Linked DNA regions of Sus scrofa. The protein of the gene in region 1 interacts with the protein of each later gene in a pairwise test. Links are inferred from orthologs where the notes say so. Each region holds a gene or a part of one and is shown in the gene's direction. Other genes may lie near its edges.

The links.
Region 2: the proteins of SSX2IP (region 1) and CCHCR1 interact in binary tests that used the Homo sapiens proteins (3 or more experiments, as listed by UniProt). The link is inferred for Sus scrofa from reciprocal best matches to the Homo sapiens genes SSX2IP and CCHCR1.
Region 3: the proteins of SSX2IP (region 1) and C2H19orf66 interact in binary tests that used the Homo sapiens proteins (3 or more experiments, as listed by UniProt). The two-hybrid records come from large-scale screens. The link is inferred for Sus scrofa from reciprocal best matches to the Homo sapiens genes SSX2IP and SHFL.
Region 4: the proteins of SSX2IP (region 1) and ZGPAT interact in binary tests that used the Homo sapiens proteins (3 or more experiments, as listed by UniProt). The two-hybrid records come from large-scale screens. The link is inferred for Sus scrofa from reciprocal best matches to the Homo sapiens genes SSX2IP and ZGPAT.
Region 5: the proteins of SSX2IP (region 1) and CARD9 interact in binary tests that used the Homo sapiens proteins (3 or more experiments, as listed by UniProt). The two-hybrid records come from large-scale screens. The link is inferred for Sus scrofa from reciprocal best matches to the Homo sapiens genes SSX2IP and CARD9.
Region 6: the proteins of SSX2IP (region 1) and CCNH interact in binary tests that used the Homo sapiens proteins (3 or more experiments, as listed by UniProt). The link is inferred for Sus scrofa from reciprocal best matches to the Homo sapiens genes SSX2IP and CCNH.
Region 7: the proteins of SSX2IP (region 1) and TFIP11 interact in binary tests that used the Homo sapiens proteins (3 or more experiments, as listed by UniProt). The two-hybrid records come from large-scale screens. The link is inferred for Sus scrofa from reciprocal best matches to the Homo sapiens genes SSX2IP and TFIP11.

What each region holds. Positions count from the first base shown.
Region 1 is NC_010448.4:129,047,741-129,052,084, forward strand, and holds the start of SSX2IP (afadin- and alpha-actinin-binding protein), read left to right. Parts: upstream 1-1,445; 5' UTR 1,446-1,466; intron 1,467-4,344. UniProt on the Homo sapiens protein: Belongs to an adhesion system, which plays a role in the organization of homotypic, interneuronal and heterotypic cell-cell adherens junctions (AJs).
Region 2 is NC_010449.5:23,543,250-23,545,811, reverse strand, and holds the end of CCHCR1 (coiled-coil alpha-helical rod protein 1), read left to right. Parts: intron 1-662; coding exon 663-814; intron 815-922; coding exon 923-1,094; intron 1,095-1,570; coding exon 1,571-1,683; 3' UTR 1,684-1,893; downstream 1,894-2,562. UniProt on the Homo sapiens protein: May be a regulator of keratinocyte proliferation or differentiation.
Region 3 is NC_010444.4:68,940,706-68,945,126, forward strand, and holds the start of C2H19orf66 (UPF0515 protein C19orf66 homolog), read left to right. Parts: upstream 1-1,540; 5' UTR 1,541-1,847; coding exon 1,848-1,868; intron 1,869-2,339; coding exon 2,340-2,463; intron 2,464-2,658; coding exon 2,659-2,708; intron 2,709-4,323; coding exon 4,324-4,362; intron 4,363-4,421.
Region 4 is NC_010459.5:62,639,616-62,643,986, forward strand, and holds the start of ZGPAT (zinc finger CCCH-type with G patch domain-containing protein), read left to right. Parts: upstream 1-1,372; 5' UTR 1,373-1,468; intron 1,469-1,684; coding exon of another isoform or gene 1,685-1,767; intron 1,768-1,937; coding exon of another isoform or gene 1,938-2,025; exon of another isoform or gene 2,026-2,112; intron 2,113-2,279; coding exon of another isoform or gene 2,280-2,372; exon of another isoform or gene 2,373-2,411; intron 2,412-2,468; exon of another isoform or gene 2,469-2,690; intron 2,691-2,724; exon of another isoform or gene 2,725-2,870; intron 2,871-2,951; exon of another isoform or gene 2,952-3,090; intron 3,091-3,376; 5' UTR 3,377-3,463; coding exon 3,464-4,047; intron 4,048-4,371. Other genes in the region: ARFRP1 (ADP-ribosylation factor-related protein 1), read right to left, coding at 1,685-1,767, 1,938-2,025, 2,280-2,372. UniProt on the Homo sapiens protein: Transcription repressor that specifically binds the 5'-GGAG[GA]A[GA]A-3' consensus sequence. Represses transcription by recruiting the chromatin multiprotein complex NuRD to target promoters.
Region 5 is NW_018084833.1:1,342,224-1,346,409, forward strand, and holds the start of CARD9 (caspase recruitment domain-containing protein 9), read left to right. Parts: upstream 1-1,209; 5' UTR 1,210-1,759; coding exon 1,760-2,103; intron 2,104-2,417; coding exon 2,418-2,617; intron 2,618-2,899; coding exon 2,900-3,037; intron 3,038-3,589; coding exon 3,590-3,894; intron 3,895-3,972; coding exon 3,973-4,152; intron 4,153-4,186. UniProt on the Homo sapiens protein: Adapter protein that plays a key role in innate immune response against fungi by forming signaling complexes downstream of C-type lectin receptors.
Region 6 is NC_010444.4:94,994,422-94,998,137, reverse strand, and holds part of CCNH (cyclin-H), read left to right. Parts: intron 1-1,261; coding exon 1,262-1,373; exon of another isoform or gene 1,374-3,716. UniProt on the Homo sapiens protein: Regulates CDK7, the catalytic subunit of the CDK-activating kinase (CAK) enzymatic complex. CAK activates the cyclin-associated kinases CDK1, CDK2, CDK4 and CDK6 by threonine phosphorylation.
Region 7 is NC_010456.5:44,106,208-44,109,923, reverse strand, and holds part of TFIP11 (tuftelin-interacting protein 11), read left to right. Parts: intron 1-3,374; coding exon 3,375-3,528; intron 3,529-3,716. UniProt on the Homo sapiens protein: Involved in pre-mRNA splicing, specifically in spliceosome disassembly during late-stage splicing events. Intron turnover seems to proceed through reactions in two lariat-intron associated complexes termed Intron Large (IL) and Intron Small (IS).

The sequences.
Region 1 (4,344 bases):
TGACATCATTGATTAAGGTTTACAAAGCAAGGAATAAAATCTATCAGGAATCAAGCCTCCAGATTTCTTCTCCACTGAGAACACAGAAAAAGAAATTTGCCTAGTGTGAAATATAAATAATGAAATAAATGGAAATGTATAACTAGGGTAAAATTGAATTGCCAGTTGCAGAATAAAAAGATAAGAACTATTTTTTTTATTGCAACACTTCAGCCTTCTGTACTGAAATGTATATTCCCAAAAACTCTTCACATAAAAGTCTGGGTTTTAAGTAATGACAGGTAAAACTCTTTTAAAGAAAATCCAACATATTAAAATATAATCTTATAGAACGGAGATGATGATAGGAGATTGTTTTACAAAGGTGTCATTCACCATGGACATAGATTTATCATAATTTTAAACATCTAGTTTCACTAGTACATTTAGATTATGATTTGATTGCTAAATACATTATTTAGACATGACTTTTGCTGGAATATATCTATAATATAAAGCAAGTACTAGCCAGAAGACATAGTGCTAGGGCCTGAAAATTTCAAAACAGTAAGTCATTTTGTGCAAAACTGTCTTCATCAATGTATCTTAATTTTTCTGGCCTAAATTGGTAAAGAAGGAAAATATAATTTAGAAAACCATTAATATCTGAGATGCATATTTATAATTCAAAGCATAGACACGGTCCCACATTTTCCTTGCTTCCATTTAATTATTCCATTCAATCAGTCCTTTGTAAAAATCTCCTATACTTCATTTTTCACTGACTTTTTTGCTCACCAGACTGTTTCCACATGTGCCACGTGAGTATATTTGTACCAATAAAATGAAATATCACACCCTTAGGTCACTTCATGAGAGCTCTTTTTTCAATGTGCTCCCAGGATGTTTTTGGTTGGGATCATCAAACAACCTAAACCCTGAAGCTTTATTGTTTACTAAACAGAATGCCCAGGGGAAGAAAGCCCCAAGTGGGCTTGGGAGCTTAGGGACGTTACATGGACCCAGGTAGCTGATCTGGCATTTCAGCCCAGGCCATGGGACTCAAGGGCACTAGTGCACTGTACCTCTTCACAACAATGTCAGACTGTCACTATTCTGTTTTCCTGGGAAACTCTGAGTTTCTGTTGTGAGCAGGGTCTTAAATCATTCAATAAATATGCATTAAACTGTTGAGGAAATTTTCAAATAACAGCAGGGAAACTAAGACTGTGTGAAATAAATGCGTGTTTTGGTGCAGAATTATATCAGAACTATTCAAGTGAATGCTGGATCTTTGTGCTCCGTGGTTTTTAAATTTATTTCAGTATAACTAAAAAAACAGTTTGGGTCATTTATAGTCCCCATACTTCCTGGGAGGGACTTTTGTTGTCTACTCAATGCTCAGAGTTTAAATTTGCAAGCTTAGAAGAGCAGACTGAGTCTAATTGCTGGGTGAGAAGGGTTTAGAGGCCACTGTAGTCAGCAAGGTAAGTTTCTGTGTGTGTGTGTCTTAAATGTGTGTTCATTGCATTTCTTAAAGGAGGTATGCTTTTATCTTGGAAATACAGGGTTTGAGAACTACCTTGGTTGGGTACGTGATCACGTTTCTATGATAGCACCTTATTAACTGTTGGAGTGATTTCCACACAATCAAGTTTTACATGACATATTTTAAAATTAATGAATCTTGGGACAAATGGAGAGTTGGAAACCAAAGCGCTAGAGTCTGGTAAAAATCATGCGTCTCAAAAAAAACAAACCAAGACAAACAAAAACAAAACAACAACAACAAAACCTTTCCCAAAAGGTAGGGCAAAACACGCAGCAGACCAGACAAAAATCTAAAGCACTAAGAGTGGAACACCTAGAAAATGATCAGGCATTTTGTCTGCTGTTCTGTGTGTTTGTGTACGGTGTTGCGGCATGGCAGGTCAGGTAGGGCAGGGTGGCAGGGCAGGTAATGATGAGGAATGGTTTCCTTTTCTGAGAATCTTTACTTGGGTCGAGGTGGTCTGCTTTTTCTGCAAACTCAGCCAGCACTTTATAAATGGCACAGAACTGTTATTTCAAGCTGAACTACTACTGACCCAAATCCAAAGGGACTGGCTAGAAATGAATTGTCTTTGGACATGCAGCAAGATGCAGAGATTCACTCAGCTAGCTAGAAGAGCCAAGCCCAGCTAAATGTAAGACCTCCTTTCAGACCAGGAAAGAGCTAGCGATCTGGCCTCTGCCTACGGGCAGGCTTGCAGAGTGAAAATGGCCCCTAGGCCCTATCCAGGTCCCTCTCCTCCGCAGAGTGATCCCTGACCACTCCAGCCCACAGCAACGTCTCTGAAGTTTTGCTGTCCTTGGAATCGGTCCTGTACTATTTTGCCGTTAATTATGAACAGGGTTAAATTGATCTTGTGGATAAAATGAGGCCATAGGTATGAAAGTTCCCAGTACAGGGAGTTCCGTTGTGGTGCAGTGGTTAACGAATCCGACTAGGAACCATGAGGTTCCGGGTTCGATCCCTGGTCTTGCTCAGCGGGTTAAGGATCCGGCGTTGCCGTGAGCTGTGATGTAGGTCACAGACGCGGCTTGGATCCCACGTTGCTGTGGCTCTGGTGTAGGCTGGTGGCTACAGCTCCAACTGGACCCCTAGCCTGGGAACCTCCATATGCCCGGGAGCGGCTCGAGAAAAGGCAAAAAGACAAAAAAATAAATAAATAAAAAATAAAAAATTCCCAGTACAGATTCCAGCAAGATTTTGTTTATCCTCCCTGCCACCCCTGGAGAGACAGTCCTGGCCACATCAGAGAGTTAATGAAAGTGAGGCCATTAAGTAGCAGCGATTCAGTCCATCTTATCTGCTACAGCATATAGGCCCTAATAAAAAAGGTTGTTGGATTATTAACTTATTACATATATTAACATCAGAGCTTAAAATAAAAATATTTTAAAAAATATAAACTTGTAAAAATTAATGTATTACAGAAGTTAATAGAATATTAAGCTATCTTACCATTAACAGTTTGGTTAGCAACCCTGTAGTGCAGGCACAGAGGGGCTGGGACTACAGAGGCAAACATGACCAGCAAAGTCCCTACCTTCATGGGGCTTACATTCTGGTGGGAGGAGACAGACGAGCAGCAAGCAAACGATTAAACCAATAAAACCAGACCTGGAAAGGCTGCTTTACCTATAGACATGGGATCTGAATGATGAAAAAGAATCAGAGCCTTCCAGGCAGACTGAATAGCACGTTCAAAGAACCAAAGGAGAAAAAAGGGAGCTGCCATGGCTGGCACTTGTGTACAAAAGTGAGAGTTTTAAGAGGGCTATAGGCGCCAGGTCATGCATGCATGAGTGGATAGGAAGTTCAGTTTCATGCTAAACACAATGAGAGGCATGAAAGATTCTTAATTGGGAGAGGGGGCTGAGAGGGTCTGAGTTTCATTTTTGAAAGACTGATCTAATAGAGGCAAGAATGGAAGTCTGCAGAAAGTTTGGAAGGGATTCATTCACACATACACAGAAGCATATAGAGTTTTAAAATACACGTGTGCTTTTCCTGCGACTTGTTACTGGTGCATATTTTTAGAATTCTTCTTTGAAATTATGTTCACAGTCAGTTTACTGTCTTAGACATCAAACACATCTTGTTTTTTGACCTTTCCCTATCCACTCAAATGCAGTAACTTAGTTGGAAAACACAGGTTTGGCATTTTAACACAACTCCAGAATGTGTTCATCAGATTTGGCTCTGAATAACTTCTTCTCAAGGAAAGCATTCTTTTCAAAAAGTCAGTGTCTACCGATGTGATACTTTTGAGCAGCATTATGGGAACATGTATATAGGCTGCCAAGGTGATTTATTTGAAATATAAAACATCCATTAGAAGTCACATTCATTTATTTACCAAGAATTATCTGCCACTAATCACTAAGCACCAAGCACTCTTTTAGACACTGGAGATATATATATCAGTGAACAATCAGAAAAATGCTCTCTCCCTCTCTCCCTGCTTGGCTGACACTCTAGGCAAGGGAAATAGGCCAAAAAAGAAAATTAACAAAGTAAGTAAGTAAGTATTATGGTTGAAGATTATTATAAGAGCAAAGTAAGAAAGATTTAGAAAGCTGGAGGGGTGTTTTTCCAATTTTAAATAATATTTGTGAGGTTGGTCCTCACAAAGAAGGTGACTTTGGTTAGATGTGGAAGGGGAGAGATAAGTAATACAGATGTTAAGGGAAAGAACATTCAAGCAGAGGGAATAGTGCAAAGGTCCTGAGGCAGGAAAGTGACTGGGAAGAATGAGGAACAGTGAGCTGGCAATGGCTGAATAAGTGAGAGAATTGTAGGGTGTGAGTTCAGAGAGG
Region 2 (2,562 bases), on another chromosome or scaffold:
AGCTGTGGTGTAGGTCACAGACTCGGCTCGGATCCCCCGTGGCTGTGGCTGTGGCTGTGGCTGGCAGCTACAGCTCTGATTCAGCCCCTAGCCTGGGAATCTCCAAATACTGTGGGTGTGGCCCCTCAAAGGACAAAAAAAGACTCATGTAATGGACTCATATACCACGTCTGGTTAGAAGCAGCAGTTAATAACCTTTGATCACATTTCCTCTCTGTCTGTATATACATACACACATTGATAGATACATTTTCGGGGGGAAGATTGAAAGGAAGTTGTAAACATGACCTTTCAGCAGCATCTCCCACAACTAGGCTATTTCCCTATATTATAACCTCAGTGCCATTGTCACCCTTTAAGAAAGTGAACATGCATTGCACACAATCTGGTATCCGGTCCCTGTTCTGATTTCCCCTAAGGGACTCTGGGAAGGTTCGGGGATGGGGAAGGTACTTAGGGTTCACAGATTCATGGGATCCTAGAGCATGGGCCACCCTCCCTCTGTACGGAAGAGCCCAAGGCCACAAGCGTCTGTGGCTCCTCTGAGTCACAGAGCTGGGGACCCAGTGTTCCTGCCCATCCCTCCAGGCTTGTTTTCTTGGTGCCTTGCGGCCTCTAGGCTGGCCCACACCCGTTCCCCCTGTGGCCTGGCTTTCCCATAGTGGTCTCCCTGCGCCAGATGCAGCGCAAAGCCACCCGGGAGAAGGAGCGGAACCAGGAGCTCCGGCGCCTGCAGGAGGAGGCCCGAAAGGAGGAGGGGCAGCGGCTGACCCAGCGCCTGAAGGAGCTGGAGAGGGACAAGAACCTCATGTTGGTAGGAGGCAGCTAGACGGGGCCCCTGCCTGGGCTGGCTGGGGAGCAGAGCTGTTGGGGGGGCGGTGCTCTGCCCCGGCTCGGTGGCATTTAATCCTCTCCTTCCCAGGCCACCTTGCAGCAGGAGGGTCTCCTCTCCCGTTACAAGCAGCAACGACTGTTGGCAGTTCTTCCTTCCCTGTTGGATAAGGGGAAACCTGTGGAGTCTGGCCCAGGGAACCCTGAGTCTTCAGCGCCTGCGCCTCTGGCAGTGGCCCGCTGCACCAAGGAGTCCATCAGAGGTAAGGGATGGGGCGGGGACTTCAGGACCCTCTCCTCCAGGCACTCTGGTGTGCATGAACCTTGTTCTCTTGACCCCTGGAGGCCCACAGCCTCTTAGCCACGCCCGCCTTGAACCAGGAGCCTTCTCCTTCATCACCCTTACATCCCGAGGCTGCCCTGTTCCTCTGCATCTTGACCTAACAGCCTCCTGTCCCTCTGGGTCTACTTTTTTTTTTTTTTCCTTTTTTAGGCCCGCACCTGCAGCATATGGAGGTTCCCAGGCTAGGGGTTGAATTGGAGCTACAGCTGCCAGCCTACACCACGGCCACGGCCACACCTGATCTGAGCCACAACTGCAGCCTAAACCCCAGCTCACAGCAACACGGGATCCTTAACCCACTGAGCAGGGCCAGGGATCAAACCTGCACCCTTCTGAATACTAGTCAGATGTGTGTCCGCTGCGCCACACTGGGAACTCCAGGGTTTTCTTTCTTAGGATCCCTCTCCGACCTGCTGGATGACCTGCAGGGCCTGAGTGAGGCCATTTCCAAAGAGGAGGCTCTTTGTGAAGGAGAGAACCAGACCTCTTCTACTTCAGTCTGCCTCTGAGCAGCTGCGATGACCAAGGATGAGGATGGTGGAGAAGTGGGCCCCAGAGTGGGGGGGTCCCGCCCAGCCCCTTCCCCATCTGGCCACCGTCAGGACAACAGGCACCAAGATGTCTGTGATTTCTCCCGTGACTCACTAAAGATGATGCCTACAGCAGGAGCCTTTGTTTGGACAGTTCTCTTTAGGAATAAAGGGAATTTTCTCTCTGCAGCCTCTCTTGTCTAGGCAATGTGAGAAGTGGTCCCTCCCACAGGCTCTTTCACGACATGGCTCCTTTTCCAAAATCCCTTTCCCGGGCTGCTCAAAGTTTGTTTTGAGAAGCTCCAGATTTTTTTTTTTTAATTCCCAACTTGTGTTTTAAAGCGCTTTAAAGAGCTTGGAATTGTCTGGAAGATGGTCAGTGCCGGGAGTGAGGCAGATATAAACCTTCACTGGTTCAGCTGGTGTCGCACAGCCAGGTGGCATCCTGCCAGGAAGCCACCGTGTTGACGGACCTGTTTCTGCTCCTGTGGTGCTTACACTCCCATGGAAGAGACAGACTCAACCAAGTTTCCACAAGAACAAATCAACATTTCAAACAATAAGTGCTATGAAGAGAAGAAAAAGATCACAGTGACGAGATAAGAGCCTGGCTCTGTGGGGAGGGGCAGCATCAGATGAAGGGACAGGCGAGGCCTCTCAGGCCCGATGTGCTGAGGCCGGGGTCAGGCGAGGACCAGGCTGTGCCTCCACTTGGGAGAAGCACAAGCGCGGCCCGTGTGGAGGGAGGATGCTGCAGGGAGAGGCCAGGACCTAGTGGAGCTTGGATTTTACTCTAAGGCCATAGAAAGTCCTTGCAGTGCTTTTTTGTTGTTTGTTTTGCTTTTTTAGGGCCACATG
Region 3 (4,421 bases), on another chromosome or scaffold:
CACTCCAGGAACACCACCGATTCCGATGCGTCACAGTGGGAACTCCGGAACATTTCTATTTTTTTTTTTTTTTTTTTTTTTTAATAATATTTATTTATTTATTTATTTATTTTTGCCTTTGTCTTTTTGTCTTTTGTCGTTGTTGTTGTTGTTGCTATTTCTTGGGCCGCGCCCGAGGCATATGGAGGTTCCCAGGCTAGGGGTTGAATCGGAACTGTAGCCACCGGCCTACGCCAGAGGCACAGCAACGCGGGATCCGAGCCGCGTCTGCAACCTACACCACAGCTCACGGCAACGCCGGATCATTAACCCACTGAGCAAGGGCAGGGACCGAACCCGCAACCTCATGGTTCCTAGTCGGATTCGTTAACCACTGCGCCACGACGGGAACTCCCGGAACATTTCTATTTTTAATGTCCTTTTTTTTTTAGTCTGCTGAGGAATATCTTTATGTACTGAATACATTATTATTAAATAATCTATGGAATCTCTCAGTATAATTGTATTTGTATATAGTTTATACACAAATAGCCACCTGGGGATGGAGCTTGAACATAGGGGTGCTCACTGAAAAATGATTTTTGGAGTCATTTGTCCTAATGCAATTTAGCCCCTCAGAGGGTATTTGGCAGCATCTGGAGACACTTTCAGTTGTCTCAACTGGGGCAAGTGTGCCACTGGCATCTGGTGGGTAGAGGCCAGGGATGCAGCTCAAAACCCTACAATGCACAGGGCAGGTCCCCACCACAAAGAACCATCCAGCCCCAAGTAGAGCTGAGGTTGAGAAGCCCTAGATTAAAGCGCTAGATTCTCTTGATTCTGGGGTCTTTGCAGGACTAGCTCCCTCCTTCCCTACTCCATTCTTCGCTTAGCTGAGACCTCATACTTCAAGGATTCCTCAGAGAAGCCATTTCTGAAGCCTTCAGGCTGGGCCAGAGCCCTTCCTAAGAGCTCCTCTAGCCCCCTCTTCGCCCCCTGCTAGGTTAGAAAAGTTCGGACCCCTGGGGTTCTCAACCTTCCCATTTACAGTGTAAATTCCCTGTAATCCCCTAGACAGCCTAACTCTGGACAACTGCTAGAGACCCCGGGAATTTGTGTTCTTAACAAGCATCTCTTCCTTCCCCCCAGCTGCTTGCCCCTCCTTATCTTACACATAGTAGGTGACCCAGTGACCAGTTAAGTGTCTACAACCTGCCAGGCGCTACTAACTGCTCTACGCAGGGAATCGAATCCTGGCAAACACACACCGCCCCCGCCACCGCCCCGCCGCCAAAATACACCCAGACTGTAGCCACTACCATCATCCCATCTTACAGAGGAGTAAATTGAGGTTCAGAAAGGGGACGTGGCCAGGTAAGAGACTCAGAGCAAGAAAGGGGTCCAGGTGCTGAATACTGCCTGATTCCCGGGGAGGGGAGGGGATGGAACAATGAAATGGGGGGGCGCGAGCTAACGGGGGCGCGGAAACTCGCCGCGGCCTTCCGATGCGGCCCCACCCCCACGAGGGACGTGAAGACGCGGACCCCGCGCAGCGTGGGGACATGTGACCGACTGCAGAGGCCGCGCTGCCTCCCCCGCCCGAGGTCTGCGCGCTCCGCCGCAGGGTGCAGATCGGTGGCGCCCGCCTGGGTTTGGGGCGCAAGAGCAGAGGCGGAGCCAAGGCGGAGCCAGCGCGCCCCGTCCCCCCTTTCCCTATCGAAAGCGAAACGGAGGGCCGGAAAGGAAGGGCGGAGCCCGCCTGGAGGCCCCGCCCCCTGCCCTGCGCGGCGGCAGGACCGACGGGCGCGCCCAGGTAGGGGGTCGCTGAGCGCGCAGTGCGGACCCTCGCTGGGACCTGCGCCGCCACCATGTCTCAGGAAGGTGTGGAGGTAGGAGATGGCTGCCAGTGGGCCGGGGGCCTGCGAGAGATGCTGGGGAGGAGTTCGGGGCGCGAAAGGGGCTTCGCAGTTCCTGGGGACTCCATCTGAAACCCAGACCAATCCTTAGGCTGGCACTCGTTCCCCTCAGAAAGGAGAGTGGCCACCACATGCCCTAGAGCGAAATGCGGCCTCCTCGAGGAAAAGCGGAGGCTGCTGGGTCAAGGGTCAGAGGCCAGGGGTTACCTGGCGGGCCTCCTCTCTTAGCCTAGGACGCTCACCCTGGTCCGCTCCCTCCCCCAGTGCCTTGTAGGGACTTTGGCTTTTTCCAGGAAATGCAGTAGAGGGATTGGGGGGGGGGGGGTGCTGTGCAGAAGCCAAAACCAAGGGTCAAGTTCAGGCCAAGAAAAAGGATGCCTAGGGATGGGGGAAGGGCCATCGCTCCTCTCCTTCCTCCTTCGGAGCCCCCTGTCCCCACCCCAGCTGGAGAAGAGCGTCCGGCGCCTCCGGGAGAAGTTTCATGGGAAGGTATCCCCCAAGAAGGCGGGGACTCTGATGAGGAAATTTGGCAGCGACCACACCGGAGTGGGGCGCTCCATCGTGTACGGTGAGCAGGCCGGATCGAGGGCCTGGTGGGGGTTCTGCAGAGGAGCACTGGAGGGGGGTGTGGTCTGTGTTGGGGGTAGAAAGAAGCGATGAGATCATCTCTTTGGGGAGCGGTCTGTATCAGGGGTTCTGGGGACACTGAAACTCCCACAAGATCTTTCAAGGGCCCTTCACTTACACTTACTCTCCCCACCAGGGGTAAAGCAGAAAGATGGACAGGAACTGAGTAATGACCTGGATGCCCAGGTAAACTGTCCCTCTCCCTCAAAGGATGTGCTAAGGGGAGGGAGAACAGAAGGGTAAGCTCATTCACGCTGAGCCCCCGCTGTGCACTGTCAGTCCACAACTCATGGTACAGCCTCATTCACTTATTCACCTCTCAGTCTTGTATCTGGCTGGCGGGCCTGCAAACAGTAGGTGCTCATTACATGCTGACTGTATTCAGTGGGGGTGAGACAAGAAACTAGCCAGTGAAATGAATCGGGATTAATGTCATTTACAGAGGAGCCACAGAGGTCAGGGAAGGCTTCCTGGAGGAGTTGGAAGGAAGTTGTTCAAGATCAGGGAGGAGTCATCCCTGGGAAGGGGAGGAGTCAGAAAGGGTCTTCCTGGAAGAGGGAGGCTGTGCGAGCAAAGGAACATGCGGACAGGCTGGGATGAGCAGGAGGTGGGGGAGGAGAGAGGGGCAGGGGATCCCAAAGGAATGAATGAATGAATGAATGAAAGGCTTTGAGGCATAGACACAACAGGGCCACTTTGCCCCTTAGATGGCTTTGGTGTCTGGTGCACTGGTTTCACCTGTCTAAAAGGCCCAGCATAGAGTTCTTAAAAAGTGTAATAAAGGATGAATTACACTCTTAACATTCATATATTTACATTTATACATATGATGAGTATGATAAAATAGCAAAGAGTGTCATTGATAAAGCACTTCCCCTGTGGCAGGACTCCAGGACTTTTACCTGTTGACTGATTTCATTGCCACAGGTCCTATGAGACAGGTCCTATTAAGATACTAGCATGTCCATTTTACAGATGAGAAAACTGAGACACAGGGTGATGAAGCCACTTGCCAGGTTCATGCAGAAGGCAGGTGACAGCTGGGATTTGAACCTCCGCCACCTAGAGTCAGAACCTGGGCTCTTAGATGTCCCTCAGTAGTGGGAATGGCTTGGCTACACCCCCACAGCTGGAGGTAATGAGGCCAGGATTTCAACCCCCATCTCCCTAAATCCAGAGCCCAAGCACTTAGCCTAAAGCAGCATGGCCTCAAAGAGGTGACCTGTCACCATGCCAACAAATGTGTGGCATTTGTGAGTAGGACAGGAGCATGGGGTCCAGGCCTGCCCCACCAGGTTCACTCAGGGTAAATTCAGCAAGCCCTCTCCCAGCTCTGGGCCTCAGTTTCCCCATCTGAACAATGGGGGTAATAAATATGCCTACCTCTCAGGGTTGCTCTAAGGACAACTGAAGTCACACATCCTGCCCTGAGGAAATAGATACTTCTCAGTCAATCAACTCCTCCTGAGTTAGGAACACCCTGCTTTTTTTTTTTTTTTTTTTTTTTTTTGCCACTTCACGGCATGTGGAGTTCCCAGGCAAGGGATCAGACCTAAGCCTCAGTTGCAACCTAAGCCGCAGCTGTAGTAATGGAGTATCCTTAAATCGCTGTGCTGGGCCAGGGATCAAACCTGCATCCCAGCACTCCCAGGACACCATTGATCTGGCTGTTCCACAGCAAGAACTCCTAGGGACACCCTACTCTTAATATGGGGCCAGAACCCCCGCTCCCCAGAAGCCCCACCCACAGAAAAGATGCATGAGCCACATCCCCAGTTTCTGCCCTGGTGTCTCCACTTAGGACCCCCCAGAGGATATGAAGCAGGACCGTGACATCCAGGTGAGTCCAGGATGTGGGACGGGAAGGTGAGCAGGGAGGACATCCATGGGGAGGTCCCT
Region 4 (4,371 bases), on another chromosome or scaffold:
AAGCTGCCATGTGGGCAGCAGCACACAGCGTGAGCGGAGGGCAGCAGGTGGGGGTGAAGGTCGCCAGCCATCTGCCAGAGGGGAACAATCGGCCACCCGACATGATGCTGGTGCAGTGGTGCTGGGCAGCGTGGGGACAGGGCAGGCCCCAGGACACTACATCTGGGAGCCAGGGTGGGAGCAGAAGCCCAGCTTTCCACCCTCCCAGAGACTCAGTGGGGGCTGGTGTGTGGTCACCCCGTGGCCCCCCGCTCACCAGCCAAGTGGCAACCCCCCCACTGCCTCCCAGGCATGTCAGGCAGCCCCATCCATGGCCAGGGGCGACCACACCTTGTTGCTGGCAGCAGGCAGGGCACCCACTGCACTCAGAAGTTGGGGAGCATATGAGAAACTCAGGGTCCACCAGAGACGGCAGGCTCGACGATCAGGGCTCAGCCCCTCGTGATGAGGCCACCGGGCCAAAAGAAGTGGACAGAAGGGGGTCACAACCAGCCACCAAGCCAGCTTCTCCTTGGCAGAAGCCACCCCCAAGGCGGAGGAGCGAAAGGAGTGTGCACCTGCCACGGGCTGTGGCTTCACTGCCTGATGGCGGGCACTGCACCCAGTGCGTGGCCCGTGTTACCTCCTGCAGGACCCACTCTGATGCACCTTACCCTGTCACAGCTGCCCAGGGTGGCCCACTGTGGGGACCTGCCAAGGGAATGGAGTCCTGGCCAGCGTGGCCTGACGTGGGGCAGCTGCCCGAGACGCCCCTGCCGTGCCCAGTCCCGAGTCCCCAGCGCCCCCTGGTGCTGATCCCCAGGATATCCTGCACCCCAATCCCCAAGGTAGCCTCTGCTCCGGAGACTCCAGCCTGTGACGGAACTTCAGGACCAGTTTTGCTCCCATGTGGGTCGAGGACTTGAACAAACAGCCCCTGGCTTGACTCTGCCTTTGTCCCACTTAAATGGCCTCAGAGGACCTGTCAGTGACGTTCTGACCACGAGACAGAAACCGCCCACTTGGATGGAAGGCAGGCTAGGGAGGACACCTTTGGGGGACGAGGAAAAAGTGACTGGGCACCTGCTGCGAGCGTCAAACCAGAAATCAGGTCCTGAGCACCCGGCCACCAGCCAGTGTTGGGATGGGCGCGTCTGCGCCCCAGCACTGGGCTGCGCCACACCCTGGGTGGGCGTCCCCTGGGCGGGGCTGAGGGAAGAGGCCCATTCTGTCCTCTCTGCTGGACCCACTGACTTGGCCTTGGGCTGTGTGGGGAGGAGAGCCCCATGTGGAGGTCGGAGGAAGGACTCAGACCTCCATCAAAAGCGGAGGTGGCTGCTGTGGGCCTTGGAGGACACGTCCCCTGCGGGAGCACAGGTCCTGAGCCGGAACACATGGCAACTCAGGCCCCGGCGCTGAGGCCGAGCACCACACTGGCGCTGTGTCTTCCCCACGTCTGCCCCTCGGCCATCCTCTGTTTCGTCCTGTGGTGAGTAGCCATAACATCGCTAAGCCTGGAACCCAGCATGTCCCTGTTCTTGGGACAGCGCCCTGGGCACTGGGACAGCACAGGGCGGCTCAGGAGCCAAGCTGCTGACCGCAAGGAGAGAAGGTGAGCCCAGGAAAGGCAGGGAGAGACCAAGGTGGCCCGGGAGGGACGGTGCGAGAGGCAGGCCGGGAGCCTGTGTGGCCACCCCCCTCTTACCTTGTCCCACAAAGACTGCAGCTCTTCCTGCCCCCCTAGGTCCCAGAACATGAGGCGAGCCTTGCCCACGTCCACTGTGCCGACTGGGCGAGAAGAAAACAGGAGAGGCTGTGGCCTTGGTCCCTGACACCCCACCTCCCAGCCCTCCTGGGGAGGGGCTCTCTGGTGCTCTGCCTGCCTGCAGGCCTGTGGCCATCACAGCACCCTCAGGGGTCTGCCCGCCAAGCCCGCAGCCCTCAAGAAACCCCCTTACTGTTTAGACCCACGGTGGTGGTGATTTTGGACAGACTCATCCCCTTGTAGTTCTTGTTGAAGCGGGTTTTTGACTGCTCCAAGAAGGTCTGCGGGGAGAGGGAGAGAGAGGCAGGAGAGAGGAGCTGGAATGGTTTTCCGGCCTGTTTCTCAAGTTTCCCTCCTTGGGCCTATTCCTTTAAGACAAAGCAAAACAGCACACCGTTTTGCTATCAAGGCAGCCGGTGCCAGCCGTCCCCCGGTCTTAGAGGGGGCTGGGATCTTTGGACAACACGCAGCTAAATGCGTGATACCAAAAGTACCACGTTCGGGGCGGGGGGCGCGGGGCGCTGACGGCACGTACCGTTTTCCCGGCATTGTCCAGACCCAGGATCAGGATGCAGTACTCGTCCTTTTGAAACATGTACTTATACAGGCCGGACAGCAGCGTGTACATCCTGCGCGGAGACCAGCGATCGGTCACCGGCGATCCGACCCGCACCCCGCCTCCCCGAGCGGCAGAAGGGTCTGTCGGCCTGCTGTCCGCTCAGACCTGGAGCCCCGGGCCCTGCCGACCCGCCTCCTCTCTGCCCGGCACTGCCGCCGGCGCCTCCGCAGCTGCTCCCGACCCGGCCGGCGCTGCCGGCACCCTCGCTCCCACGTCCGGCCTCCCTCCGGGCTTCGCTCCGCCCAGGTCTCCTCGACGGCCCTGGGCCAAGACGGCCGCAGGCGCCCCTCAGAGGAGGGCGCGTGGGGGCGGGCGGCGGCCCCGAGTGGCCGTGCGGCTCCGCCCGCCCGCCCCGGCCTACCTGCGCCCGCCCGCCCGCTCGCCCGGGCCGCGAAGCCGGGGAGACGCCGGAGTGGGGGAGCCGCCAGGGCACCGGAGCTGCGGCGCCTGACCCTCCGACCCCGCGCCGACCCCGCGGTGACCCCGCGCGACGCCCGACGGGACGCGGGCCGGCCACTCGGGGAGGGGCGGAACCGTCCCGGCGGCCCCCGCGCCAAGCACTTCCGGCGGTGGCGGCGCGAGGGCGGAAGTGCCTGTCGGCTGCGAGGGCGGAAGCGGGGCGCGGGGCCGCTGGGGCCGCCGAGGCCGCCGGGCCGTCTGTGGCGGCGGCCGGGAGACCGTGCGGAGGAGGGCCCGGCCGGAGCGAGAGGGTCTGGGGCGTGGCGAGGTGACGGGCTGAGCCGGGGCGGGGGTGCGCGGGGCGTGGGCCGGGGCACCCGGCTGAGGCGCGGAGACCTCGGAAGAGCCTACGGCAGCGCCCCGGGGCGCCTGAGAAGGGAGCTGCGGCTGTGGGGCCAAGGCCGAGAGCCGGCTCTGGCTCGCCGGATCGGAGCTGGAAACCTCTCTTGGCCCAGACGGGAGGGGGGCAGCTCACGGTTCCGCGGGCTGTCCGCCCAGGGCCAGCCTCGCAGCGGTGGCCCGTCCCAGGCTCATTTGGCTTCTCTTCCCCGCAGCTGTGGCCCCCACGCCTCCCCTGGGAGGACCCAGAACACCCACCCCAACCCCGCGGCCTGGCCGAACAACCAGCCCCTCCTGGCAGGATGGACGAGGAGAGCCTGCAGGCCGCCCTCCGGACTTATGACGCGCAGTTGCGGCAGGTGGAACTGGCCCTGGGCGCCGGCCTGGATCCCTCGGAGCTGGCGGACCTGCGCCAGCTGCAGGGGGACCTGAAGGAGCTGATCGAGCTCACAGAGGCCAGCCTGGTGTCCGTCAGGAAGAGCAAGCTGCTGGCCACGCTGGACGGAGAGCACCCAGCCCCGGAAGATGCGGAGTACGTGGCTTTCCAGAAGGCCATCGCCGAGGTGGTGGAGGTGCCAGCAGCGCCCCGGGCCGAATTGGAGACTGTTCCTAAGGACGAGGCAGGGCCAGACCCCTCGGAGCCTGGAGAGGAGGAAGAGGGGGAGGACGAGGAAGACGCGGCCGAGCTGAGTGGGAGGAAGGTGAACGCCCCCTACTACAGCCCGTGGGGCACCCTGGAGTATCACAACGCCATGATCGTGGGCACAGAGCAGGCGGAGGACGGCGCCCCGGGCGTGAGAGTGCTCTATCTGTATCCCACTCACAAGTCCCTGAAGCCCTGCCCCTTCTTCCTGGAGGGGAAGTGCCGTTTCCAGGAGAACTGCAGGTAAAGCCTTGCCTCCCCCTGCGGCCTCTGGGGTTGCGGCCTCTGGGGTGGGGGGCTTGCGCTCAGGGTTGGGGTTGGCCCGCTGTGTTTTGGAGTTTTGTCCTTCGTCGCCCAGCAGGGTGCTGAGAAGAAGAGCTCTTTGGGGGCCAGGGGGTTCTTGCAGCAGATGCTCTCCTCCAGCTGTTTGCTCGGATTTTCGGGGTACATCAGGAGGTGCGGATGATGAAAAGAATGGGGCCCCCCCCCCCCCCCCCCCCGGCACTAGTTTTTATTCTTCAAAGGGAGACTTCTGAAGATTGTTTATGTTATGGGAATTGTCAAGCA
Region 5 (4,186 bases), on another chromosome or scaffold:
TTTCTCGCGACCTCCTCTGACCTGTGGGCTAAGTTTTCTTGTTCAATTTCCAAATGCTGAGTGAGGGTCCCGACGTCTCTGTGGCTGCTGCCTCGCCCAGAGCACACGACGTCTGCCTGAGCTCTAAGCCACGGGAACTGGGTCGTTGAGGGCCCGGTACCAGCCTGCCTGCTGGGCATGTAGGAGGCGGTGGCTCAGTCTCCTGCACCAAGTCCCCACCTGGCTTTCGCGGCTCCCGCAGGGGGCTCCCCATGCCCAGAGGGTGATGTCAGCTCCCCGGAAGGCCAGGCCACCACGCAACCCAGCAGTGCCAGGTCTGTGCCGGGACGCCCAAGGTTTCTGCGAAGTGGCCCGCTGACCATCCTGGGCAGAAGGCAGAGAAGCCCCCACACGGCCTGAGGCGTGAGACCCCACAGGAAGGGAGCTGGCCAGGCGGGAGGGAAGCTCCTCAGGAAGGGGGAGCCGGGAGCACCGGCCAGGCTCCCATCCAGCCCGTCCAGCCGCAGCCCCTTCGCGGAGCTGAAGCTGGCAGCTCGGTTCAACTGGCAAAGCTCCCCGGGCAGCGCGGTGGCCTGGGGATTCCCCAACCTGGCCAGGGTGCAGCTGGCAGCCAGGGCTGGGCTCCAGGCTTTGCCCGGCCTTCTGCAGCCCTTCTGAAGTGCTGGGGTGGGGGGCTGCTGTCACTGTCATGTGTCCTGGTGGAGAAGGGGTGGTCCCAGGAGGGGCGGGGCCGTGCCAGCCACAGCAGGCCAGTGTGCTGCGGGGCGCCTGTGCCCGGGGCCCTGTTTTGGGACACCACACCGCCCCCTCCTGGGACCAAAGTGGGCCAGCAGGGGCTCGAGCTCTGTCAAGCCTTGGCTCGCACTCCCCACTCCTCAGGGTCAGGGCTGGGCCTCCAGGGCGGGCCCTGGGCCCCGCGGCCAGCCCTGCGCTGGCTGGCAGGGCTCTGGGCAGCCTTCCTGGGGAGCCACTTCCACTTCCCTCCCCCGCCCCCCAGGCCGCCCTGCTCGGGCGAATCAGCAGCGGCCGCAGGGATGGTCCCTGCGGGGTTAACGCCAGGAAGTGCGCTCCCTCCCGCCCCACCCTCCCTGGCCGGCAGCCGCGGCAGCTCCCACCGCTCACACACCGGCTTGGCGGCCCAGGCTGGCCGGCGACCGGCCACTGCACAGGTGCCTCAGGAGGACCCCAAGGTAGGCTGGTCTGGTGCCCTTTCGGAAAGGCGGCGGCAAGCCCAGGTGGCTCAGGACTCTTGGGACAGGGAGAGGGATCTGGCGTGAACACCCCAGAAGGGCACCAAACGGCCTCACCTCTGCTGCCCCGTCCCCCTCGCAGCCACCTGGCACGGTCGCTTCGGTGGAATGCACAGCAGGTCATCGTCAGGCGTGGGTGCTGTGGACTTGAGGCTAGAAAGGCCGCAACAGGCCAGGTCCAGAGACCGGCCACCAAGGTGCTGGTGATTCCTCTGGACGCCGCGCCTGTCGCTAGGCGGGCGGGCCGAGGGCGGTGGGACCCACAGCCACGGCCTCTGGGATACCACGGCCTCTGGGACCGTGCCCCAGCCCCCGTGGCCCGGGAGCCGGTGTTTCCCAGGCAGGTTACAGGCTCAGTCCCAGGTGTTGAGGCGGGGTCTCTGTGCCCCCCGACCCCTCTCCCCCAGGAGGAGGCATGGCCACATGGCTGCTCCTGCTCAGCCCGCCCCAGAGCGTGGTCCCTGCCCACCCGCTGCTGGAAGGGCTAGCAGAGAGCAGCTTCCACGTAGATGGTCCCCTGTCAGGGAGCCAGCATCCCCGTGCTCAGCACTGTGGCCGAGGAGATGGGGAGAGCCCGGGGCCAGCTAGTGCCCAGCACCCAGAGCCTGGAGGAGGCGCGCAGCCGCGTCCTGGGCTGCCTGGGCGACACAGCTGGGCCCTCCCCATGTGCCCAGGGCCCTCCGGTGGGCTGCTCTCAGTCACGCTTCCTGGAGGGCACCACGTCCCTGGGCCTGACCGGAGCGGGCCAGCTGGGCAACTGTTGCATCACCAGCCACAGGAAGCAGAGGAAGGGATGGGAGTGGATGTGCGGGGGAATGAGGAAGTCCCGCGTGGCATGGCCTGCCGCCCGCAGGTGGGGGGCGCCCCAGCCGGGCGCGGGCTGGCCGGGGGTGGACCGGGACCCCTCCCTCATCTGCCGGGGAGGTTGTGCCAGCGCTCGGCCCAAACAGCTCCTGCTGCCCCCTCACCTCCAGGGAGGGAGGCAGCCTCCCTGCCCGCCCACAATGCTCGGGGAGGGGGATTCTCCCTGGGCACAGGCTGGGGGGGTAGCGTGGGGCAGGGGCCCAGGGTGACGGGGGCGGGGGAGAGGAAGCCCAGAGCGGCCAGAGGGCGGGGGCAGGGCAGGGCAGGGCGGCGGGCCAGTTGACGGGCCCTCTCTCGGAGCAGTGCGCCCGCCCGCACCATGTCCGACTACGAGAACGAGGACGAGTGCTGGAGCGGCCTGGAGGGCTTCCGCGTGAAGCTCATCTCCGTCATCGACCCCGCCCGCATCACGCCCTACCTGCGCCAGTGCAAGGTCCTGAGCCCCGACGACGAGGAGCAGGTGCTCAGTGACCCCAGCCTGGTCATCCGCAAGCGGAAAGTGGGTCAGTGCCGTGGGCGGCGGGCTCTGCCCACGCTCGTCCCTGTCCCCGGGAGGCCTGGCCGGCTCGGCCCCCGCCCCGCCCCCCCCATCACCAACCTGTCTGCCTGCGGCCGGGGCGCCGCCATGCACAGCAGAGGCCCCTGGGAGAGCCACACGAGGTGGGTGGCCGATGGGGACTGGCCCAGACCCACTCTGCGGCCACCCCGCGGGGCCTCGAGGGGCCACACGCGTGCCTGGGGACGCCGGCCGCCCCGGCCCCCAGCCAGGCCCATCTGGGTTGCAGGCGTGCTCCTGGACATCCTGCAACGCACCGGCCACAAGGGCTACGTGGCCTTCCTCGAGAGCCTGGAGCTCTACTACCCGCAGCTCTACAAGAAGGTCACGGGCAAGGAGCCCACCCGCGTCTTCTCCGTCATCATTGGTGAGGAAGGGCACCGGGCCTGGGGACCCAGGGCCCGGACTCAGGGGCCGGGGCGCCCCCCTGACCTGGGCCCCTAACGGATAAAGCGTGCATGCGCTCTGGCGGAAGGATACCGCCCGCCTGGGGCCCGCCCGCCCGCTCTCCTGCTGCAGCCCGGGGAGGGGGCAGGGGCCGGAGGGAAGGGGGACCTGAACTCCAGGGCGGGAGCAGGGGGAGGGGAGGCACAGGCTGATTCTTGGCTCAGAGCCCCCCTGCCCAGAAGACCACCTGACCCCACTAAAACCCTGCTCCCGAGAGGCCGCGGCAGCCGGAGAGGTGCCGCTCTCCTGGTCCTGAGTCGTGTCCCCTCGCCTCTCAATCAAGATGACCAAAGTGGACAAAGAGGGAGGGACACGTGAGCCCCTGGCTGCACCGTCCTGGGAGGGGCTGGGGACGGGGCCTGCAGGTGAGTCAGGACCAGACCCCTGGGCCGGGCTCCCCGGGCCGCCGGTCCTGGAGCCGCGCGAGATGCTGGGCTGCTGGGCGCGCCGTCTGATGAGGCCCGGTCCGCAGACGCGTCTGGGGAGTCCGGCCTGACGCAGCTGCTGATGAGCGAGGTGATGAAGCTGCAGAAGAAGGCGCAGGACCTGACGGCGCTGCTGGGCTCCAAGGACGACCTCATCAAGGAGCTGCGCGTGAAGGACGGCCTGCTGCGCAAGCACCAGGAGCGCGCGCAGAGGCTCAAGGAGGCCTGCGAGGCCGGCGGCCGCGAGCTCCAGCGCTGCAAGGACGAGAACTACGACCTGGCCCTGCGCCTGGCCCGTCAGAGCGAGGAGAGGGGCACCGCGCTCATGCGCAACCGAGACCTGCAGCTGGAGGTGCCTGGCGGCGGGGCGGCCGGGCGGGCGGCGGGCGGGCGGCGGGCCCCCGGGCTGGGCTGACGGGCGGCCCCGCAGATCGATCGGCTCAAGCACAGCCTCATGAAGGCCGAGGACGACTGCTCGGTGGAGCGCAAGCACACGCTGAAGCTCCGGCACGCCATGGAGCAGCGGCCCAGCCAGGAGCTGCTGTGGGAGCTGCAGCAGGAGAAGGCGCTGCTGCAGGCCCGGGTGCAGGGCCTGGAGGCCTCCGTGCAGGTGGGGCCAGCGGGGCGAGCACAGCGCAGCCGGG
Region 6 (3,716 bases), on another chromosome or scaffold:
CTTCAGGGTTAAAAGTCAGTTATGTTTGTTTCCAAAATGTTTTGTGCCAGTTGTCCTTATGAATAAATTTCTGGTTTAAATATTGAGTAAGCCAATAAAATATGACATTGAAGATCTTGATCTTGGATGACATTAGTTAATCAGTGTTTTTATGTTTTATGTTTCAAAAGTTAAAATGCCTCAGGGCATGTAAATATCATTTCTTGATTCTTTGTTGGAAATGATCTCGAGGTCTTCCCTCTTTAAGTGAGAGTGATGAATTTATCAGTCAGAAAACTGTAGGTTTTCAGTTATACCACTAGAGGGTTCACTTCCAAAACTAATTGTGATTTGGCCATAGATATTAGGATCCAGGAATTTAGTAAGTACAAGAGGTCTTAAAGGTAACCCACTGTGCTGATTTTATAGCTGACACTTACCTTCATTTTACTCCATTTGTTTAAATGTAAAATAAGAATAGCTCTTGCTGAAACTCAGAGCTGGAATGGTATTATCTTATTCATAATTTTTCACACACAAGATACTGTCCCAAGGGTTTTGATGCAAACACTGCTTTATTTGCTTTATGAAATAAGTCACTCATTTGGAGCACATGGCTGGCTAATTAGCCCTGTTTCTCTCATCATTCCTTATAAAAATCATGAGATTTATATTCTTTGTTTTGTGGTAGTTGAATAATATAAAGGGCCCAGGTGGAGAATCCTTGTGTGCTTAGTCACTGTAGTAGTTTGCTTTTAGCATAAGGAGGGTATTTTTGTTTTCTTGGTGATGCTTCATTGTATAGGTTCCGCATTGTGTTAAAGCAAAGCATCATTGACGGGTATTTATAAGCATTTTTCCTTCATTGCATATTACATAATAATGTTTTCCTTGTACATGAGGCCCTCCATCTGTAGGACAGAATGTTATGAATATAGTTGGTGGTAGAGAACAAAGATTGTTTACTAAATCATATAGGGATTTTTTAAAAGCCTTAAAACTGAGTAAAGTGACCATGGTAGGATTTGGAAAAAATACTGACTAGCAAAGCCTGCTTATCGTTATGCTGTACACGACGCGGGCTAAGCAGCAGAAGCTATAGTAACTTGAGTATGGTGTTCATTGAATTCTAATGTGAAATAATAATCCTGATAATAATAACCACATTTCAGGAGTGTTCTTTGTTGTTCCCAAAACTAGATGGGAAAATATTATTCATCCCCTTTATGAGAACCATACTTTTCATTATCTGATGTGGATCCTTTCTTTTATATACATATAGGCATGAGAAACTTGGTAAAAAAATATGAACCACCCAGATCTGAAGAAGTTGCTGTTCTGAAACAGAAGTTGGAGAGATGTCACTCTCCTGAGCTTGCACTTAACGTAATTACGTAAGTAGATGGGACACTGTTATCCTAGAACAGATATAACTATTATTGTGTTTAGCTTAAAATGTCATTTAATTGGTGAATGCTCATATGGGTAAAACTGACTTACCTATTAAATCAGATTTTTTTTCAACAGGATTAAACACGAGATAATAAAAGAATTTGGCTTTTTATAGTCAATTCTGCTCCTGCTGTGATTAACGTGTTCTTTGGCTTGTGGGATCCCATGAGGCAGAGTCTTCCTAGGGAATTCATGAACCTCTTCTTGTCCTTTTAATCTCTAGGTTTTTTGTAGGTCTGGTTATCTCCTCTGGAGAACAAGTACACTGTTCCAGATTTATTTCTATTAGCTAGGGTATGGAAATTTGGCATATTTTCTCTCAGTGGTAAACTTTATATTGAAGACAGAATCAATAGGAAAATGTGCTGTTAGATTTCTTGTTGCATCCATAAGGAACACTGTAATACGTCTTATTGACTTGTTGCTGAATGTGGAATTCACTATATTTGAGCTCTTTATCACCTGCAGCTTGAAGATCTGCTTACACCTTTCAGGTGTTTAAACAGTTGGGGATCTGGGTAGGTAATAAGAATGGTAAAATTATTATTTTATATTTTCTGTGGAACACATTCTGTAAAACTTAGTGGGAGGTAGGTCTGTCATCTTACAGTTGAGATGCATTTGAGATGTTTCTGATTCCATAATTGATGACTATATTGTTATTGGATAATATATGAGACATCAGACCAGAATTCTAAGGCCTTCAGATCAGGTACTTGTAACTCAAATTCTTCTAACTATAAAGCTATAGTAGGAGAATATCCCAGGACTTATGATGTGTGTAAAATATGGGACTATTTTATATTTGTAGCTGTAACTGCAAAACATGGCTTAGAATAGAACCTAAAATTGGTAAATTTCACTCCTGGGTTTCAGTGTTACAGCAAAAGTAAAGAAAAATGTTGACTTTAATGAATGAAAGTATTGCAGTACTGATTTATAATCTTTTCACATTGATTTTGAAATGGGCTTATTAGACCAGGTGTTGGCACACTGTGGCCCAAGGGCCAAATCTGGGCCACAACCTGTTTTTAGAAATAGTTTTATTGGAACATAGATCCATCTAGCATACTGTGTATTGCTGTTTTCAGACTATAGCAGAAGAATTGTGTAGTTGTGACAGAAACTACATGCCCGTACAAGAATTAAAATACTCACTATATGGCCTTTTGAAGAAAAATTTGTCCACCTCTGAATTAGACCACTCAACTATTGATCTTACTCTTCTAGCTAGGTGACTGAATGGACCATAATCCAAAGTTCCTAATTGGCCAGAGTTTACATCTTTCTTTCAAGTGTACTGTGTTAAGCAAACCCTGCATATCTATGAGTACTTAAAGGGCGATTCTCAAACTGTAAAGGACTGTTAATTTTCTTTTTAACCCATTACAGACCTACACTTACATAAAATATTAACAAATAATTACTCGAAAAAAGAAAATGACAAAAAAATAAGCTTAAATTTTATTAGATTCAATAAGCTTAATTTTATTAGATTCAGTAGTCATAAATAAATCTATCAAATTCCTATAAAAATTTCTAAACACACACTCAATTTCTATACTTATCTCATTGCACGCTGGAAATGGTCCATAAATCACACTTACAAGCACTACTTTAGGATAAAATATTTTTTCTTGGTCTTTAAAATTCTTTTATCTTTTTTAATACACAAGTAATATAGTGTCATTATTAAAGCCAATTTAATACAGGTAAACCAGAGTTCTCTTTAACCAAAACCCAAATCCCAGTTTCATCCCGAGAGGTAACTTATAGTTGTTATCTTTGCCAAGCTTTTCACTATTATGTATTTAGAAAAGGGTTTTTTCCCTTTTCATTGTTTTCATACACATTGTACAACATTTAATAGTATCAGTATTTAACTTCTGCCAGTCTGGGTGAAGAAATAATCATCACATCGGTATTTTAATTTGCATTTCTCTTATTATTCTGATACTGATATTTCCATGTCAAATAATCCTGTTTCTTCTGTATTGCATAATTATAACCTCTGCCCAACTTTCTTGTCTTGTTTTCTTATGGTTCTTTTTATATACTCCTCTTTTTATATTTATCATAGACCTACTTTCTTTTGTTGCTTCTTTTACTTTGTGACATAGGCAGCTTGTCTTTTGCTTTATGCTCGTACACCTGAACACCTTGTCTTACTCTGTATTTTGCCTTTTGTTTAGCTGTTAAAACTATTTAGAATTGTATGTGATTGGTTTGAGGTAGAAATCTCACTAATTTTTGTTCAAAGTAAACTTGTATCAGCCATTTAAAAA
Region 7 (3,716 bases), on another chromosome or scaffold:
TCTTTTTCCTTTTTTGGCCACCTCACGTCAGAAGGAGTTACCAGGCCAGGGATCAGATTGGAGCTACACTTGTAACCTATGTTGTTGCTGCAGCCATGCTGGGCCCTTAACCCCCTATGCTGGGCTAGGGATCAAACCTGCATTGCAGTGCTCCAGAGACAACAGTGATCCCATTGTGCTTACAGTGGGAACTCCTTGTGTTTATTTTTAAAAGAAAAAAAAAATTTTGAGTTCCCTTGAGGCACAGCAGGCTGAGGATCTGGCATTGTCACTGTAGTGCCTTGGGTTGCTGCTCTGGCATGGGTTTGATCACAGGCCTGGGAACATTCACATGCTACAGGCATGGCCAGAAGAAAATTTTGTTTTTTTAATTGAAGTATATTTGATTTACAGTGTTGTGTTAATTGGTTTATCATAGGACACTGAATATGGTTCTCTGTGCTGTACAGGACCTTGTTTATCCTCTCCACGTATAATAGCTGCATTTGCTAACCCCAGCCTCTCACTCCACCCCCTTGGCAACCACAAGTCTTTTCCATGAATTTGTTTCTTTTCTGTAGATAGGTTCATTTGTGCCACATGTTAGATTCCAGATATAAGTGAAATCATATGGTATTTGTCTCTTTCTGACCTGCTTCATTTGATACAATTAGTATGAGAGTCTCTAGTTCTATCCACGTTGCTGCAAATGGCGTTATTTTGTTCTTTTTTATCACTGAGTGGTATTCCATTGTGCATATGTACCACATCTTCTTAATCCATTCCCCTGTTGCAGGACATTTAGGTTGTTTCTATGTCTTGACTATTGTGACTAGTACTGCAATGAACATAGGAGTGCGTGTATAATTTTCCTTGAAATCTTTGTCTGGATATATGCCCAGGAGTGGGATTGCTAGATCATCTGGTAGTTCTATATTTAGTTTTCTGCTGTACCTCCATACTGTTTTCCATTGTGGTGGGACCAGTTTACATTCCCACCAACAGTGTAGGAGGGTTCCCTTTTCTCCACACCCTCTCCAGCATTTGTGATGCCATTCTGACAAGTGTGCAGTTGTACCACATTGTAGTTTTGATTTGCATTTATTGAATAATTATTGATGAGCTTTTTTTTTTTTTTTTTTTTTTTTGCTGTTGAGTTGTATGAGTTGTGTGTATTTTGGAAATTAAGCGTTGCATCATTTGAAACCATTTCCTACCATTCTGTAGTTTGTCTTTTTGCTTTTTTTATGGTTTCCTTTGGTGTGCAAAAGCTTGTCAGCTTGATTAGGTCCCATTGGTTTATTTTTGTTTTTATTTCTGTTATCTTTGGAGACTGACTTAGGAAAACATTTGTACCATTGATGTCAGAGAATGTTTTGCCATGTTCTCTTCTAGGAGTTTGATGGTGTCTTATGTTTAAGTCTTTAAGCTATTTTGAGTTTATTTTTGTGTATGGTATGAGGATGTGTTCTAGTTTCATTGATTTACTGTCCATTTTTCCCAGCACCACTTCCTGAAGAGACTGTCTTTTTCCCATTTTATAGTCTTGCCTCCTTTGTCAAAGGTTAATTGACCACATGTCCAGGTTTATTTCTGGGTTCTGTATTCTGTTCCATTGATCTGTATGTCTGTTTTTGTACCAGTACCATACTGTGTTGATTACTGTAGCTTTGTAGTATTGTCTGAAGTCTGGGAAAGTTATGCCTCCTGCTTGGTTTTTGTTCTTCAGGATTTCTTTGGCAATTCTGGGTCTTTTATGGTTCCATATACATTTTTGGATTGTTTGTTCTAGTTCTGTGAAAAATGTCATGGATAATTTGATAGGGATTGCATTGAACCTGTAGATTGCTTTGGGTAATGTGGCCATTTTAATGATATTAATTCTTCCAATCCAGGAGCATGAAATATCTTTCCATTTCTTTGAATTTCTGTAGTTAATTTCTTTTTTTTTTTTTTATGCTTTTTAGGGCCACACTTGTGGCCTATGGAAGTTTCCAGGCTAGGGGTCAAATCACAGCAACATCAGATCCGCATCTGTTGACCCACACCACAGCTCATGGCAAGACCAGATCCTTAACCCACTTAGTGAGGCCAGGGATCAAACCTGCAACCTCATTGTTCCTAGTTGGATTTGTTTCCCCTGTGCCAAAATGGAAACTCCTCCATGATTAATGTTTTATAGTTCTTAGCATATAAGTCTTCCACCTCCTTAGTCAGGTTTATTCCTAGGTATTTAATTTTTTTTGAGTGCCATTTAAAAATGTTGTATTTTTATATTCCTTTTCTAATACTTAATCCTTAGTATACAGAAGTGCAACTGATTTTTGAACGTTAATCTTGTATCCTTGAATTTTTGCTGAATTTGTTGATCAGTTTGAGTAATTTTTGTGTGGCATCCTTAAGGTTTTCTATATATACTATCATGTCATCTGCATAGAGTGACAATTTTACCTCTTTTTTTTTTGGATACTTTTTATTTCTTTTGTCTGTCTGATTGCTGTGGCTAGGCCTTCCAATACTATGTTAAATAAAATTGGTGAGCGTGGACATCCTTGTCTTGTTCCAGATTTTAGTGGAAAGGCTTTCAGCTTTTCGCCATTGAGTATCATTCTGGCTGTGGGTTTGTCATGGATGGCTTTTACTGTGTTGAGATGTGTTCCCTCTATACTTGATTTGGTAAGAGTTGAATGGATGATCCAACTTGAATGGATGTTGAATTTTGTCAAATGCTTTTTCTGCACCTATTGAGATGATCATGTGGTTATTGTCTTTTTTGTTGTCGATGTGGTGTATCACATTGATTTGTGCACGGCGAACCATCCTTGTAAACTTGGGGTGAATCCCATTTGGTTATAATGTGTGATTTTTTTTTTGATGTCTTGTTGGATTTGGCTTGCTGATATTTTCTTGAGAATTTCCGTATCTATATTCATGAAAGATATTGACCTGTAATTTTCTCTTTTTTCTGGTTTTGGTGTAAATGCTTTTTAAAGTAAGTTAATTTTAAAAACGTAAAAGGAAGAGCTCCTGTTGTGATTCACTGGTAGTGAACATGACTAGTATCCATAAGGACGAGGGTTCGATCCCTGGCCCACTTAGTGGGTTAAGGATCTGGCACTGCCATGAGCTGTGGTGTAGGTCGAAGATGTGGCTCAGATCCGGCGTTGCTGTGGTTGTTGAGTAGGCCTACAGATACAGCTCCAGTTGAACCCTCTCGCCTGGGAACTTCCATATCCCACAGGTACAGCCCTCAAAAACAAAAAATAAAAAATAAAATGGATCCCACAAGGTCAACTCTAAGGAACTCTCTGGCCAGCAAGGTTTCTACATGGGATGGTTTCAGGAGAGTTCTTAATGACCCTATGGGCTGTGGGGCCTTGTGTTTTTACCTGCAGGGCTCGTGACTACTCGGCACCAGTCAACTTCATCAGTGCTGGGCTCAAGAAAGGGGCAGCAGAGGAGGCGGAGCTGGAAGATTCTGATGATGAAGAGAAACCTGTTAAGCAGGATGAATTTCCTAAGGATTTTGGACCAAAGAAGTTAAAAACGGTAGCCTCCTTATTGACGTGTTGTGACTTTAGTAATATCCCTGGAGCATCTTTGTGGTGCAAGCATCTGCTCACAATTGGCGGGGGCGGGGGGCGGCGGCATTGTGTGGGTCTCCCTGTGGTAGTGCATCTCCCTGAGGGGTGATGTGTGCAGTGCAGTCTCTTCTATTCCCTAAGATGCATCAGAGG